Linked DNA regions of Tamandua tetradactyla. The protein of the gene in region 2 purifies or fractionates together with the protein of the main gene of each other region. This does not show direct contact. Links are inferred from orthologs where the notes say so. Each region holds a gene or a part of one and is shown on either strand. Other genes may lie near its edges.

Region 1 (8,517 bases), on a different chromosome or scaffold from region 2:
TTTCACATGAGAGATCCAAATCTACTTGTTCATAGAGGCAAATTCTAAGGGGCATTTTGTGCAGCTGCCATAAATTTAGTAAAATGTGCCCACAAGACAAATGAAGGTAAAACACATGCTTAATTCTGAATTCCAGCAGAACCTGAAGAATGTGTACTCCAAAATAGAAATATAAGTGACATGACATTTGACTTCAAAGAAATCCAGAAGTCCTTTTAACAATTAGCAGAGTGTCAGGCACGCATTCAAAATACGTTAACTTAATTTGATCTCTGCCTATTAACGAGAACTTTCAGAAAGCTTCCATATTTCTGAAATTTGAGAGATCCCAGTTCATGCTTCTATAAAAGCAGGAAAAAAATCTAAAAATAATAGCAGGTACTCAGGAATAAGTACATCAGTGAAAACTTTCTAAGGCAGTAGCTATCAGAAACATTTATCATGGTAAGTGGAATAGATGGGACTATTTAAAAAAAACAATTTCTAGTGACAGTTTAAAAAGTCACCCTGAAATGCTACCAAAGAATTTTTAATTATCTATCTATCACTAATTGAGCTTCTGGGGCCAGATTGATGTAGAGGAGGGGAAAAGAATCTTAAATAATGAACTCAATTTAGATAATACTTATATATAGCACTGACTGGTTCAGCTCCTCTATTAAACTGCTATTCAAATATTTTTGAGAGATTTAAAAAGTACACTAGAGGAAATTTTATTTGCTAAAACATGAAGCCAAAAAAACTTAAATTACAAGCTGTGAGAAGAATTCTTGTCCTTTACCTGAAGCAATGTGGGAGGCCATGGTGTGTGTTTAAGATGCTTGACTTGAGAGATGTGGCGTCCCAGACTCCGATGGACACTGCAGCACTCATCACATATGAAAGTCCCCCTGTTTACTGATGCCCAGGAAGGATCTGGAAAGTAAAATGAAATTCCAGAGGTGAGGATGCCAGTTGGTTGCTATAAGGTCAGAGAGCAAAAGATGACTGAGGTTTGTGTTTCCAAATGCCAACGACATATCAAGCTGGTGATTCTGCTGATGACACCATCTATTATGGCTGATTATGTACCATGTTAACTGATACTAAAAACACGACTTGAATCCCTAAATAAACAGTTCTCTCTTTTCTGGCTCAGGACCACAGCTTGTAGTCATAATGTGTTATCTACACCACATTAGGATGTTCTTTCATTCAATGTAAGAAAAGTAAATTAAGAGGGTGCAGATGACTCTTTTCAAATCCATCTCCACAAATGGCCAGATAATAAAATTTTGACAGTGAGTTAGAAGCATAACATTACCTGAAGTAAACTGCAAAAAGGACTGCTACTCTAATTTACAAATCTACATGCCCATATGCTTAAGAGAAAGCTGTGAGTGAGAGAACTATAAAATCGCTCAGCTGTTACGGTTCTGAGGACAGATTGGGAAACCTGGCCTCCTCCACTGGGAAACATTCTATGATTTCCCTTAGTTGTTTTAAATAAACTACTCACAAATCCAACCCTCCAACTCATCTGAAAGAACATAAACTGTACTAAGTCATTTCACAGAGATGAAGATGCAAAATAAAAACGGGCAATATTTTTGGTGTGCATACAGTATTTTTCTCCTATGAAGTCTCAGGAGAACTTTATTAGACAGCCTTTGAAACAAGGACTCATACACATGTGGCAAACAAAATGGATCCGAGTAAGTAAACCGAGCACGCAGAAATCTAAATTAAAGGAAGATATACATTCCATCACAATGAAGTGAGGTGCCACTCAAACTACCAGGTCTAAGGGTTATACTTAGAAATTTTTCAATGTCCACAAACATCTTAATCATTTTAACAGTTTATTCAAGCTCTTTCAAACCATATACAGAAAAATTACGGTATTTCAATCAAAGACAAACCCTAGGGGTTTGAAAGTATGATGGTTAAGAAGGTTGGCTCCAGAGACAAGCAGGCCAGGGTTTGAGCCCCAATTCTGCCACTTGTGGTACAATATCCTCGGGCAAGTTACTTCTTTTGAGTCTCTTCACCATGGGTCAAATGGTAATGATACCTACATTTCGGGGTAGAAAAGAATAAGTAATGGGTGCATAGTAAGTACTCAGTGATGTTAGTTGTTATATCTTTTCTAAACAGCATTCAGATATCTTCAAGAACCTACTGAAATTCATGATCACTGGGAAAAGTTTTTGATTAGAAATACTTAAAAAACAGTGAATGCTTCATGTGAATACTGTACTACTATAGTACAGTATAGTGAAAATCTCACCAGATTTTTCAGGTAATTGCACTCAGAGTATGACGTATTTTAAAACTAACTAGATTCATTAAGATAAGTGAAATATTTAAGAAGTCATTGTGGCTAAATGTTTGCCCTAAAACAAAACAGAAACAAAGTAATTCAAGGATGCATAACTCTCTCAGTACTACTATACTGAGCAAGGATTGAAGATATCAAGATGAGGGTTATTTAAAATGATATATAGGAACATTTTTTTTTTTGCAGTCTGGTACTACTGTTAATGACCATAAAAACCTATTTGCTTTGAAGCATAGCTTTGATTTTCATGTATCACCCAGATGATTTACAGTATTCTTGGAGGAAATTAAACAGCACCAAGACAGTGAGGATTTAACACACCTTAAGCAAGGTTCTCAAATGATCATTTTAACATCATGTACCAGAATCCTGGGGAAAGAATACTAGAATGTCACAACATAGTAAAATCAAAATCAAGTTTGCATGAATGAAGTTGGGCAAAACCCTTCCAGCTTATCTGGATATTTTATGTCAGGGCTTCTTATACAGGGTTCATGGACACCACAAATGGGTTTCAGAATTGTCTGTAACTCGAGTGAGAAATCCTAAGTAAAATCTGTGTGAGAGTGTGAATACCAGTGCATTTTCTGGGGAGTGGCGTCTTTGCTTTCATCAGATTCTCAAAGGGGTTCCTCAATGGAAAGGTAATTCTTTCACCAGAGTTTTGCAGAAAAGAAGCACAAATTCCTAGCTGCTCAAGTTCACAGAACAGTTCAAGGTAGCCTAATTATACTCAAAACAGGAAGGAAGTGACTCAAGTCTCTGTAGACTATGCATATGAAACAACAGCTAAAATGATACAATGGAAGAGAAAATGTTCTGAAATGTACAAAACGCCACAAAGTGAAAAGCAGTCTCGGGGCAGCAACGGAGAAGCAACTCCCCTTAGCCCCACAGCGTCTTTTGAGAAGTAAAGAATACTCATTCTAAGAGGAAGTTTGATGCTAGACACGTGAATCAAACACATCTCTGAAAGTTCAACTGAAAACAGGCAAGAAAAGAAGGAAGCGGAACAAATAACACTTTTAGAGAATAAAAATGGAGTTTATATAACCCACCCTAACTTGATTATGAAGCATCTCTTTTTAAACCCTTTTACCCCTCTTCCCGTCTTTAAAGGAAACTGGTAATCCTGGTTGCATTGTACAGGCCATGACACAACCACGTAGGTTTGAGTTATCACAGTACAATTTAAAATCAGTCTCAACTTCCAAATCACAAGATGAAGTTCAAAACAGTTGCAAAAACATGTTTATGATTTCATTAACACTGTTTCTTGGGTGCTATTGTGCCAAGTCAACCATCTGACTTTTGAATTACTTCAAACACAACATAGATAAATGCAAGCACTGAAAATAGCATATAATAATCTAACCATAGAGACCTGACAATTCAGTTCCAATTGCAAAGACAGCTCGGAACCCTAAATCTGAAAAGTGCACATAGGTGGAAATGGCTTCGGCCTTTTAATAGCCACAACATGCTTACAGTCCCTGAATAATACTCAGATGTGTATTCTGCCGAGTGATTTTGTGTTTACTTGGTAAGCTGTAATTAATATATGACTTAGGAATTAAATCTAGTTTTAAGAGATTATGAGGGTTCCGTACTGAAGAACATAATACAAAAAAGAACAAAAAACTTTAACAGGATCATAAGAACATTTACTGAATCTTCCTAGCCCCTGAGCACAGTACTCCCAATTTTCCCCATCGGAAAAATAAGGAAATCGAGGTTTGGCCAAACAAAGTCACCAGTCCAAGGTCACCCTTGGGAAAACCAGGTTTGAACCCAGGCTGTTCAGCTCCCAAACTCGAGACAGGCACTGTTTCCCAGGCGCTGCCTGGCGCTGCCGGCCCTCAACGTCCTGGATTCTCCCCCGTGGAGTGGGAGCGGGATGTCAAAAGCCAGGAAGTCATCTGCCCCAGAGGCCCCTCGACGTGCCTTGGTGAAGGAAGCCGCGAGTGTCGCCCACCCCGGGCGAGGGACAGGGTGACCGGTGGGGGTGACACCTGCAGCTTCTGGGGGCCGCATCCGCGAAGACGTTCGCAGTTTACTTCTGTAATTGGTTTTCCTGTGGCTTGCCCAAGCCCCTTCCTGTTAGGGGAGAGGGCCCGGCCCCAGCCCCCGCCCCCACCACCGGTCTGGGATGAAGGGGAATGGGCGGGGGGGGGGGGGGGGGGAGGTGTTGGTGGTGTGAGAGGGAAGGGAAGGAAGGGAGGGGGCGGCCCCCGCCCCGTCCGACTCTGACAGGCCTGGAACAAGCCCTGCCCCAGAGCCGCCTTCGGTTCCCCTTCGCTGCGACCACGGCCGAGGGGCGCGGGGCTCGCCGGCGGGGACCTGCCGGACCCGAGGGGGCGGCCCGGGGCAGGGGTCCCGGCCAGGAGAGGAGGGGAGCGGGCCCGGCCGGTGCGACTCACCCGGCCCGCTGCAGTCAGCGCACACCTCGCTGCTCCGGAGCCGCTTCGACATGGCTCCCGCCTCCCACGCGTCAGGAGCTAGGGGCCCCGGGACACCTAAGGCGGCGGCAGGAGCGCTTCCGCTTAACGGGTCCCTGCGGCGGCGCTAGCGGTGGCGCCTCTCCCCTCAGCGACTCGGAATAGCGGCGCAGCACGCAGGCGCAAGGAGGCTCCCTTCGGCGATATAGGTCATGTGACCGGACAGGGCACGCTGCCTTGTCGCCATCTTGAGTAAGGGCAGGCTCCTCCCCAGCATCTTTCGCTTTACTTCTAAATCTTGAATTTAGGTCCCCCTGGAAGAGATATGCCTCCTCGCAGCACCGATAAATACCAGGGGAAGCAGCAAAATCTAATGACTAGAGCGCTGCAGCCACAACCTTCCTGAGACAATCGGTGGCCATTTACTGTAACATTGGCCGAGTTCATTCATTCAGTCAACAAATACTTATTGAGCCCAGCTATGTGCCAAACATTGTCAGGAACGAGAGAAACAGCAGTGAGCAAAGCAGACAAAATTTCCTGTACTTATGGATGTTACATTCTATTGAGGTTGATCTGCAATAAAATAAGTCAAGTATAGAATATGTTAGATGCTTTCATCTTTAGAATTCAGTTTTAATCTCATCTGCAAAACGGAGTCCACGATTTGTTTTTATACGGCTTGCTACCTAAGAATAGTCTTCACCTTTTTAAAAGGTTTTAAGGAGAAGAAAAAGGAGAAAGAAGAGGAAGAGGAAGAATATGCAACAGAACTACAATGTGACCCACAAAACGTGAATATTTATTATCTGGCCAAGGACAAATGGAGTAATTTATGAAGAAGCATGTTGTGCCTGCCCCATAGGAAACCCGCAATAGATAGTAACCACCACTATTATTGGTATTTTATTATTTTCTAATCACTGCTCTTCTTCATATACTTGGAATTTGAGAATAAGAATCCTGAAGGAAAGTAATTTATAGGATGGTGTGAGATAAACACAATGAAGTGAGGTTAATTAGTGTGAAGGAGAGAAGAGATGTGAGCCTAACGCTAATGAACATTTATTGTATATGTTACATGCAAACAGGATTATAATCTCCATTTAGCAAATATTGGATGCCCATGATGGGCCAGGTACTGTTTTGGCTTCAGGTAGTCTGGTGAACAAAACAGAAGTGGTCCCTACCACTGTGGGGTTTTCAGACTGAGATAGGAGAGATGTTCAATTAACATGGGATGATGGAGAGAATGAAATTAAGTTGTATGAGGCTTCTGAAAAGAAAAGAAGTCCTGGAAAAGGCCTCAGAAGCATGACCCAGGATCCATCTCTCCAGTTTGATAAATGTGTGATGTGGAAATAGCCACACAGTTCCTGCACATTCCACAGTCTGAATCTATGGGTGCTATCTTGATGCTCTTGTTTCCTGTTTTGGTTCCCCGACTCACAAATCATCTGGGTTCAACACATGTGGAGAATGGATTAGCCCAGAATTCTCGAACAGCTGTCGTTGCAGACATCTGAAAAGCTGGTTGTGCACAGGCAGGAAAGGCAGAGAGGATGCTTTTAGGATGCATTGAATAACTTTGCTGAGCTAGGTTGTGTAGTTGTAGACAATTGAGCAGTAGCAGCAGCAGCAGCAGCAGCATGGAGCTCAGGCTGGTTAGTAGCTATAAGCTGACTTGGTTCTTTATTGATTCAAGAAGATACAGTGTCTGAAGTTGAAATCCAAGGATGAACTTCATATTTGCAGATTGTGGTAAAGTCTAAGTATTATATATGCACCCTTCCAGCCATAATTACAAATCCAAATGGTTAGCTTCAGGCAGGCCACGGTGGCTCAGCAGACAGAGTTCTTGTCTGCCATACTGGTGACCTGGATTCGATTCCTGCGTGTCTGCCTGCCCATGAAAAAAAAAAAAATAACAGTCATATGTGAAGTAAACTACCAGCACAGGTTCTTTCTTTTTTCTTTTTTTAATTAGAGAAGTTGTAGATTTACAGAAAAATCATGCATAAAATATAGAGTTCCCATAAACCACTCTATTATTAACACCTTGTATTAGTGTGCCACAGATATTTTTGAATCATAACCAAATTTGGAGTTCATATAGACAGTGGTTCTCAGCTGGGGGCGACATTGATCCCCCAGGGGATGTTTGGCGAAAAAAATTTTGAAGGGTGCTAAATTGGCCACCAGTGGATAGAGAAGAGGGAAGCTACTCAATATCCTACAAAACACAGGAAAGGACCTCAAACAAAGAATTATCTGGCCCCAAATGTGCTGAGGTTGAGAAACCTTGAGATAGAACTATGCTTCTATTATGCAAATATTAGATGCCACTTTCCCAGGGTTTATAGTTCTCCCTTTACAACTATTTTTGGTGTTGCCCACTTCCAAAATGGCTACTGACAAATCATAGAAGCTTCTGCCCTGGTCCAAAAAGGCTGCAAGGGGATGGTTTAGTCCAGGCCACTCAGACACCCCCCCCCCATCGCAGAGCCAATGGAAGCGGCCCAGTTGTGGAGCGCACAACTGTGGGTAGATAAAGCAGGGGGGACGAGGCTAGAGACGGATAGACCGATTTTTCCTTATTAAGACTTCGGGCCAAGAGAGGGAATTCTAGCTCCGTGTAGACGTTGGTATTGAGTTTTCCGGTGTGCAGTTAGGGGGTAATGGGGTCGAGAGGACACCCGGCCGGGTCCCTGGCTTCGCTCCCCCTGCCGCAGCGCGCAGTGGTTCGCTCCCCGCACTTCCCTGTTTGGGACAGTTCGGCCCCGAAGTCGGTTCGCGAGCTGTCAACGCCGGCGGGAGCGCGGCGGGGCGCGGGGTGGGCGCGGCCGACCTGGTCCCCGACCCGGCCCGCGACCCCCGACCTGCCGTGCGCCCCGCTCCTGGCTCTCTAGGCCACCCGGCCGAGCAGCGCGCCCCTCGCTCGCTCGCCTGGTTCTCTCGCTCGCTGGCTGCCGGCCGGGCGGACGGACGGACCCCGGAGACCCCGCCGGGGCCAAGACCTCAGTGAACGGGCGGCGAGGGCCCTCTGAGGTCTCCTCGCCATGTCTTCGGCCCACGACGACGGCAGCCACTTCCCTCTGCACCTTCTAGTCTGGAACAACGACTACCGGCAGCTGGAGAAGGAGCTGCGGGGCCAGGTGAGGGACTGGGCGGCCGGCCGTGGCCCGAAGGGGAGAAGGCGGGGGTCGATTCGCCTCGTTGAACCCATTTCCAGCCCCCAACCCCCTGGCCCCGCTGACCCTTTCAACTCTGCACTCGTGGTCCGATCATTGTAATAATAGTAGGACATGTATTGAGTGCTTACTGTGTGCCAGGCCCTGTGCCGAGGGCTTTATACATGATCTTTTTTTAACCTCTCCAACCCTTGGGAGGTAAATAGGTACGATTATTATTCCGTTTGACAGAGAAGGAAACTGAGGCTCTCAGAGGTTATGTGCAAGGTCGTCTGGCTCTTAAATACCAAGTCGGGATTTTAAGGCAGGCTGGCTGGTTCCAGAGTGGTCCCTTTTAACCAATAGGCTCTACTGCCTCTCAAAGACTGAAAATGACACACACACACCTCATCCACCCTTACTGCCTCTCAAAGACTGAGAATGACACACGCGCGCGCACACGCCTCATCTCACCCACCCTTACTGTAAGGAAAGGCACGGTTGGGTTTGGAGTCCTGGTTCTAATTAGCTCTGTGACCTTGGGCAAGGCATTTTCCCTCACTGACCCAAGTTAGCTTATCAGTTGAAT
Region 2 (8,517 bases):
AAACAATGAACCCTAGAAAAACCATGGACTATTGCTTAAAGTACAGTAAAAATGTGATTTCATCAATTGCAACCAATGCAAGGTGTTAATAATAGGGTGATACATGAGAACCATGTATTTTATATTAGATTTTTCCATAAACATACAATCTAATAATTTTTAAAAATACATATTCTAGATATAACCTCTTATAACTTTTCAGTATGTGTGGTTTATCAGCCAATCCACAAGTTATTTATTGAATAGCTACAGGGTATGCGCTTTCCGAATCCATTTCATTCTTAGAACTTAACCACCATTACCATACTGTCATCACTTGACCACATTTTTGGAGGCAAAAGGGCTTATGAAAAGGCAAATGTCTACCATTTGGCACTTATAACTTCTGCCCAAGAGTCACTGAGATTTCATTTGTCTTCCCAGCTCACTCTCTAACCAATCCCAAGATCCAAAGACTTATCAGAAAGGAAGATAAAGAGAATGAATTAGAAAAGAGCATTTTCTTTTTCCTACATTTTTTATTATCAGAATTTGCTGGTTTCCTGCAAACCTACAAAAGACTATATAGGGCTGCCAGCTTATAGTTTGGGGAAATACAAACCACATCTTAATCTATGTATAGGATTAGTAAAGATTTATGGTTAAAGAAAAATCTTCAGTCTGATTCAGCCCAAATGCAGGTCTCCTTTAATTCCTTAACTCTCTTGTTACTTTAATAGGTATCTGATATTGTGATTTTCTTTTTATTTCATTCTGCTTCATATTTTTTCTAGCTTTATATTTATGTTTTCTCTTGTACTAAAAATCGTAGGAATCAGTTATTAGTCTTTTTGTTTCCCATGGCTCCTAGCACCATGCAGATAGATGGGTTCTTACTAAATTGGTTTGACTGAAATTTATTATACAATCCCATAGTTTAAATACATGCGTACGCGTGAGCGTGCACACACACACACGCACACACACACAGAGGACACCTAGCAAGACCAGAATAGTATCTTTCATGTACACGCCACAAATACTAATCCAGCATCTTCTCTGGAGCACATTATATGGTTTACCTGGGGAAAATTCTGTGCATTCTGTTCTGGAACAGAGAGAGAAAGAAATCAAGTGTCTCAAAGACTTGAGTTTTTCATAGTGGATTAAGTGGCTCCCATCCTCTGCATTTGCAAGTAAAATTAAAACAGCATTTCATGATTTCCATTATTTTAATATGTGTCTTATTATTGTAATGGTGATTTTTCATCCTCTAAGATTCCTGTATCTTGATTTCACCGCTTTTGATTAAATAATCCATGGATGTTTAAAGTGTTAATTTATGAAAACAGTGTTAATAGGGCTAAAGGACGGTTGGATGCTCACTAGATTTTATGGCCGTTGTGTGTTTTTGATCACAGGAGGTATGAGGAAAAAGATTAGAACAAGTAGTTCAGCAATACATCCTGGCCATTGCTGGAAAACATGGAGATATTTTAACCACAATTTTTTTCTCCTATCTATAGCAAAAAAACATAATGATGAAAAGTATCTTTCTTCTGAACTGTTCATGTAAAGTTTATAATTTCCTCTTCCTACTGTCTTACTTTCCAATTTAAAGAAAAGCAGGAGAACTGCATAAAAGAGAACTTAAATGAAAAAAAAATGTTAATGAATAAAACAATGTGAAACTAAATGAATGTCCTCTTAGTTCCCTCCATCCTTCTACCAGATCTAAAATAGAACAAATGAACATAATGGAAGAAACATATTAGGAAATGTTTTTCTTCATTTATGACATAAGAAACCTGAGCCAGCTTAACTCTCCTAAATTCTGCCCTCATCCCCAGTCCAATGGTTCATTTTAAATTTGAATTTGCAAGTGTTAAGTTACAGGCTGCTTTATTAACTAGCTGTCAACGTGTTCTTGTGGCAAACAGGGGTAAAGTTAAGATTCTTTAAATTTCATATGAGTATTCAGTTAAGTTTCCAACTGTCTCTTTTTAAGGAAAAATGTCTTCTTCCTCACATTTCCACATTCAAGTAAAAGTTGTTCAGAGTTTGTGCTTTGTGGCATATATTATTTGGTATGCATGCAAACGTTGGAAAGTTCAAACAGATAACTCTTTTAGGAAATGGAAAAAGCTCATGACTCTTCTGAAACCCAGGTGTTTTTTGGAGGCAGAGAATGACTAATATTTTACCCTGAAAACCTACCTTTGAACCTTTGAGAATTAGTGGCTCTGTCTATAATTTGCTACTTTGATATTAACCTTTCATTGCGATAAAATCAGTTTTTAAAAAAAACATTTGGGGCTCAGGGAAAAAGGAATTAATAGCTTCAATATAAGAAACTTACAAATGACTATAGTTTTAGATTATGTTGGGTTGTTTTCTGCAAAGTAAACATTCACAGTGTTCTTTGTTGTTTTAGAGATGAGAGGACTGCTACCATTTTCTAAGAAAGTCTTTCTAAAATTTAAAAGAAAATGACTATTGAAGTCTACCAATCAATAGTATACCAAATAGCACATGCATTGAGTTGCTATTTTTAGCAACACAGCATATCAAGTTTCTTAAAACTCCATTCTTAGAAATGGAACAATATTTTATTGACATCTACTTTGGTAAACTGTGCATTTTCAAAAAGCTTTTCAACTCTGACTTTTATTACCAGAAATACTGATATTCAGATGACAACAAAGTATTTTGAGAGCCCTGAAAATTAGATCCTGCTTGTTGCATGCAGAGACCGGGGTTCGATTCCCGGTGCCTGCCCATGCGAAAAAAAAAAAAAATCATAGATCCTGCTTGTAATTCTCATTTTAAATCATAATTTTATCGTGACATCAGATTCATCTAGAAGCAACATTTTTATTTCATGGACAAGCAGGCAGGTATTAACTCTAAAGTGCACATTCTGTGTTCACAAATATGTTACCCGTAAGAAAAGCATCTAAAATTATTATGCTAAATAAAATTTTTCTGGCCTTCAAAATGTAATCCCAGAACATATGCAAATTTATGAATGAGGATAAACGTTTTACTTTTTCAAGTCATTTTATTAACTTTTTTATTATTAAAAATCGTCTTTGGAAAAAAAATTGTCTTGGTTTGTAGGGGCTAAAAACTCCACAAAAAATGAAATTGTTCCTCCAAATTATAGTGCGCTCCAACTTCCATACTTAATATTTTAAAAATAATCTCTAAAAAGATTCATCTTAAATTATACCCTGGCAAAAAAAATTTTGGAATAAAATTGTAGTATTTTTTAAATAGCAGGATATATAGTTTTTAAAAGATTTCATATCCCCTCACCCATGCTTTGTCAGCTTGTAGAGATGAAAACAAACTTTAATCACTCACAGAAATACAGGTCAAGGTTCACACTTTATCCCTAGGGAAACCACTAGACAGGAGTAGGGAGAAGCAATACTCCAGGACTCTGGATCTGTTCAGAATCAGGTAGAAATCTGAAAATAAAATCTTGTATTTTGAACAAATTCTGAAGAATGCCAGGGCTTTTTAACTTAAGTGATTGCAATCCACATGGATTGGAATACATGAGGAATTCTTTCTTTGGGAAAGTAGTAAATCATTTCACAGCTCAGCTCTCAGCTATTGACGAATGTACCTTCAAAAAATGCATAGGAATTGGTCAATTAAACAGAAAAATGATGAAACTACTGCAATATCCCCACCAACGAAAAATTATCCAAACAAAGCCATCGGAGAAAACTGTGCATGGTGTTGGAACGAGCTTTTCTGATTAGGTCACTGTAAGGGATCTGAGCAGACAGACCTCACGACACCCGAGGAGCAACTTAATATTAGAACGGAACAGAAAATCCGATTTCTTCTTGTGTAGAGAACTGTTCTAACCTTCGAAATCGGACCGGGAGAAGACACTGGGGCTGCGCCCGCCTGCGGGATCCGTCCCCTTTGCAGCGGCCCCAGGCTCCCGCCCACCCCCCGCGCGCGGCCACGGAGCCCCCCGCCCGGCTCGGGCCCGCCACTCCACACTCTGCACACAATGGCGCCCTCCGAGCTCCCGCTACTCGGGTCCTCACGGTCGGTCGGGCGGGGAGCGCCGTGCGCGGCGGAGATGCGTCCGCGCTTTCCCGGCGCGAACCGGACTTCCAGGGGGGATCCGCGCACAAAGGAAAGTGCGTAGGCTTCCTGCCTGCGCGTCACCTTTTCCTCTGGGCAGAGGTGGGCGGCTGGTACTGCCGCGCGGGTCAACCAGGTGCCAAGGCGCAAGGCGGTTCCCGCGTCCCGGCACTCGTCTGCCCATCTCGGGCCTCAGCGGCCGGGGCCCAGGGGTCCTGAGCTTTGTGCCCGGGACCACGCAGGCAGGAGGCGGGCGCGTGGGCGTCGGAGCGCAGGGGTCAAGCCTAGGGGTGGGGTGCCGCCTGGCGCCCCGGGGTCGGCGACTGCGGCCAGGCGGGGGCGCGGTGGGGGGGCCGGGGGCCGCGCGCGGGCTGAAATAGCACTTACTTTCTCTATGGTCCCAGGGAGCAGGCGGTCCAGCAGCCTGCAGAGGACCACCCCATCTTTGAGAGACGACTGCAAAAAGCCCTCTGGGTCCGAGATGGTTTTTTTGGGCGACTCCAGCACCCCCAAGGTAATGAGCCACGTAACGGTCTGTTCAGCGGAATTCATAGCTGCCCGAAGAGGAGGAGAAATCCGCAGGGGGAAGGAAGGGGGGGGATACCGCACACGGAGCAACCTTTCCCTCCTCGCTCGCTCTCCGTTGCTTTTTCTGATCCCCCTTTTTTGCTCGTGGTTTCACATTGGAGCAGCCGAGGCTGGAGCTTCTGATCCCACCTCCTCCTCCTCCTCCTCCTCCTTCCCCATGTAGATGCAGATGATGACGATTGGCTTTGCGAAATCCAGTAGGTCCAGTTTCGCTCCCTCTCCCTGGCGTGCGTTTTGGCAGACTGTCAAGTGCCTTTTCATTATATGCACATGAACCTGCAGCGGCGGCGGCGGCGGCGGCAGCCGGGGCGCCTCCGCCTCCTCCTCCTCCTGCTCGCTCAGCTGCTGTAGCCCAATGACATCACTGAAATAAGAAGAAAAGAAGATGCCGTTTGCAAGCGGCTCTACATCCTGTCATCGCCTCGGCGTGTTCCAGCCGCCACCGCTGCGCACGACAGATGGGTTCGCCTTGTTCTAGGTACGGGCCGGGGCCGCGCGGACAAATGGACACGCTGCGTGCGGTTTTGCGCAGGCTTTGAGCATGATATAAATGTAACCCACACCAGAATTTCACGAATGACACAAGGAATAAACCGTTAATGTAAAGCCTTGGAGCATATGGTTTTGCACATGTGGATCCACTTACAGGTGCATTTATGTGAGAATTTAGATACAGTCATCCATCTAGACACCCTTCAATGACCATTCTCACCATTATTCTCCTATGCATGTGTGTGCGCGCGCGCACGTCCTTACCTGGACAGCTGTTAAGTAAGCGACAGCCCCGAGAAGTCCTTTTGACCTCTAGAAGACCGGATTCAGTCTCACTCGCGGAGGTGGTTTTACCAACGAAGGCTCGCGCGGCCTCCCTTCCCCCACGCGGCCATGTGCGGTTTCCCTCTACACAATATGTTAACCATTTGCGCTTCTGCTCCGGGTCTATTAAGCAGACACCATCTGGTTGGAAGAGCCTCACTTGACTTTTTTCGCTCTTCTGTCCCTTCCTCCGCCCCACTCCCTTCCTTAGAGGACTCATAAAGTTTTATTTATTTATTTTTAAACATGAATGTTTCAATTATTAAATATTTCCCAGAATTCTCTTTTTATTTTTGCCAGTTTGATTTCAAGGGCGGGGGAGAGGGGGTGTCCTGAAAAAGAGACATTCGTCTCTCTTCGCCACCGCCACCTTCCAATACAATAATTACGGGAACATAAATTATAATTAAGTATGTAACCAGATGGGTCTAATTCAGGAAGGGATTGATTTTCCTAACGCTGCTGCTAGTCCTTTTAAACGTGAACAGCAATTTAACGCTATGCTGCTTGGTTTCGTGTGCCCCCTAGTGGAAGGTTGGTTAAGACGGCTGGTGACCTCACCAAATTCTGGAAGGAGGGTGGCTAAATATACGTACGTACGGGCCATTTGGGGAGAGAATGTTCGTAGTCCAGAAACCTTGGAATCACTCCACTTTAAATTAATGGTGACGTTACAAACACTGTTAGAGGAAAGTCAAGAAAATAACACCTAAAACGGATCTACGTAGATTATTACGAAGGAAAATGTAAACAGCTCAAATTAGGCACTTAGTTGGATTATATATGAGTAAAAAGAGCCTCAATTAGACACAGGTCTATGGACACGTACAGGTCTAACTTAAGGAATTCGGACCTCAAACCGTAGTGTAATAAACGAGTTTTTTCAAACAACTCATATTTATATCCTGAAGAAGAAATAGAGCTTCTTTTAAAAACAGGACAGTATGTAAGGAGATTTCATTGCTACATTTACTTTCATTTATTTCATCTGCATGAGTTGTCAGTGCTTTCCCTCTTTCTTTGCCTTTACTTCCACGATAGTTTAAAATGATATTATCAATCGCTTATAGAAAGGGTACTGTGTTTCAGGCACACATATTAATACATTTAGCGAGAAGAGCTAGAAATTATATAAAGTTTTATTATTTTAGAAAGTAAAGAGGCTTAACTCTTCCTCCTCTTTTTCTGCTTTCATCGAGAGTGTTTCTGTGCAATCATTAATTGCATATATTCCAGCTTTCTTAACCAGTTTGCTTTCCAAATAGAAACATAAGATAATTCAATAACATTATCAATTCTGGGTTATGAAGGTAACTAATATTTGGTGATAATAGCTACCATTTGCTCACTAAATGCCAAGTACTGTGTCAACTGCTCTAATTGTATTATGTCACGAAATCATTAACACAACCTTATGAAATTACTCTCATTATCCCCATTTTACAGAAGAGGAAATGCAGCCTACAGAAATGAAATCATTGTCCGAGGTCACACATGCAGTAAGAGGTAGAGATGGATTCAAATCCAAGCTATCTGGCTCCAGAACTGATGGACCTAACCTGTTTTCTATATTGCTTTCCTTTAGGCTTTCAGAAGACCATTAGAGAAGCTAACAGCTATATGGTGGTTAATTTTATATGTAACTTGATTAGGTTATGGTGTCCAACTGTTTGATCAAACACTGGCTTAGATGTTGCCATGAAGTATTTTGTAGATGGTGCTAGCTGACGTTAAGTAAAGGAGATTATCCTGGGTAATGTGGGTGAGCCTCATCCAATCATTTGGAAGCATTAAAAGTAAACTGAGGGTTCCAAAGTAAAGAGGAAATTCTGCTTCAAGACTACACCCTCAACTTCTCTGAGTTTCCTGCCTGCCAGCCTCCCCTACAAATTTCAGACCCAACATCAAATCTTGCAGAATTTCCAGTCTGTCAGCTTCGCCTAAGAAATTTGAACTCAAGACTTCAGTTATTACTCTTACTGTAATTTCTCCATCCTGCAGAATTCAGACTTGCCATTCCCCACAATTGCATAAGCCAATTCCTTAAAATAAATTTCTGTATATATGTATACACAGAAAACACACACATACACACATATATCCTGTTGGCTCTGATTCTCTGAAAAACCCTGACTAATATAAACTATATCAAGTTTTATGCCCCAAGAGTCTTTATCAATAGAAGGATATGAATGCAAGGGTAATTTTTCACTGAGATTCCTATGTACTCTCATTACTGTTGAATTGGAAAAATAATTTAGAATGTCTTCATTACAATTATTCTATTAAATTAGGTCTGGCATTTATAAATCTGATAAAAAAGTAAGATTCAAATTAACTCAGTAAAATAGTTCTACAAAAAGCAAGCTCTAGGAAGAAGCCTTAGGAGACCAGTGAAGCTGGTAGCTAATTATATTGTTTTTTGTTTTTTGTTTTTTGTTTTGTAGAAGGTCCCGAAATTTTAAACATTTTTATTTACCAAGGGCATTCTTTTCCCTTGGATGTATATTAATTTCAAAAAGAGCTTATTTGGAAGGGATGCAAGTTTGAAACTGTTGCATGTTCCAGAAAAGCCATATTCTTTCATCCTTATTCAATATTGCTGGATGGGATCTTTTTTATTATTTCCATGGAGATGTGACCCACCCCATTGTGGGTGGTACCTTTTGATTAGATGGTTTCCATGGAGATGCGTCTCTACTCGTTCAAGGTAGAGTTGCTTACTGGAGCCCTTTAAAAGGGAACAATTTTGAAAAAAGCTTCAGTGCCAACAGAGCCCAAGAGCCCACACAGCCAGAGACCTTTGGAGATGAAAGAAAATGCCCCCGGGGAAGCCATTGAAGAGCCCAGGAAAGAAGGTTAGTAGACATAGCCCTGAGCCTTCCCAGCTGACAGAGGTGTCCAGAAGCCAAAGACCCCAGCAGATGCCAGCCAGCCACATGCCTTCCCAGCTAACAGAGGTGTTCCGAATGGCATCAGCCTTTCTTGAGAGAAGGTAACCTCTTGTTGGTGCCTTAATTTGAA

The links.
Region 1: the proteins of ARHGEF7 (region 2) and GIT2 purify together in Homo sapiens (affinity purification with mass spectrometry; 6 studies listed by BioGRID and IntAct, counting the BioPlex papers as one, with this or other methods). This does not show direct contact. The link is inferred for Tamandua tetradactyla from reciprocal best matches to the Homo sapiens genes ARHGEF7 and GIT2.

The regions. Positions count from the first base shown.
Region 1 is NC_135331.1:21,457,259-21,465,775, reverse strand, and holds the start of GIT2 (ARF GTPase-activating protein GIT2), read right to left. Parts: upstream 4,944-8,517; 5' UTR 4,793-4,943; coding exon 4,741-4,792; intron 916-4,740; coding exon 782-915; intron 1-781. Other genes in the region: ANKRD13A (ankyrin repeat domain-containing protein 13A), read left to right, coding at 7,818-7,913. UniProt on the Homo sapiens protein: GTPase-activating protein for ADP ribosylation factor family members, including ARF1.
Region 2 is NC_135330.1:180,970,942-180,979,458, reverse strand, and holds the start of ARHGEF7 (rho guanine nucleotide exchange factor 7), read right to left. Parts: upstream 5,674-8,517; 5' UTR 5,434-5,673; intron 5,156-5,433; exon of another isoform or gene 5,042-5,155; 5' UTR 4,642-5,041; coding exon 4,477-4,641; intron 1-4,476. UniProt on the Homo sapiens protein: Acts as a RAC1 guanine nucleotide exchange factor (GEF) and can induce membrane ruffling. Functions in cell migration, attachment and cell spreading. Promotes targeting of RAC1 to focal adhesions. May function as a positive regulator of apoptosis.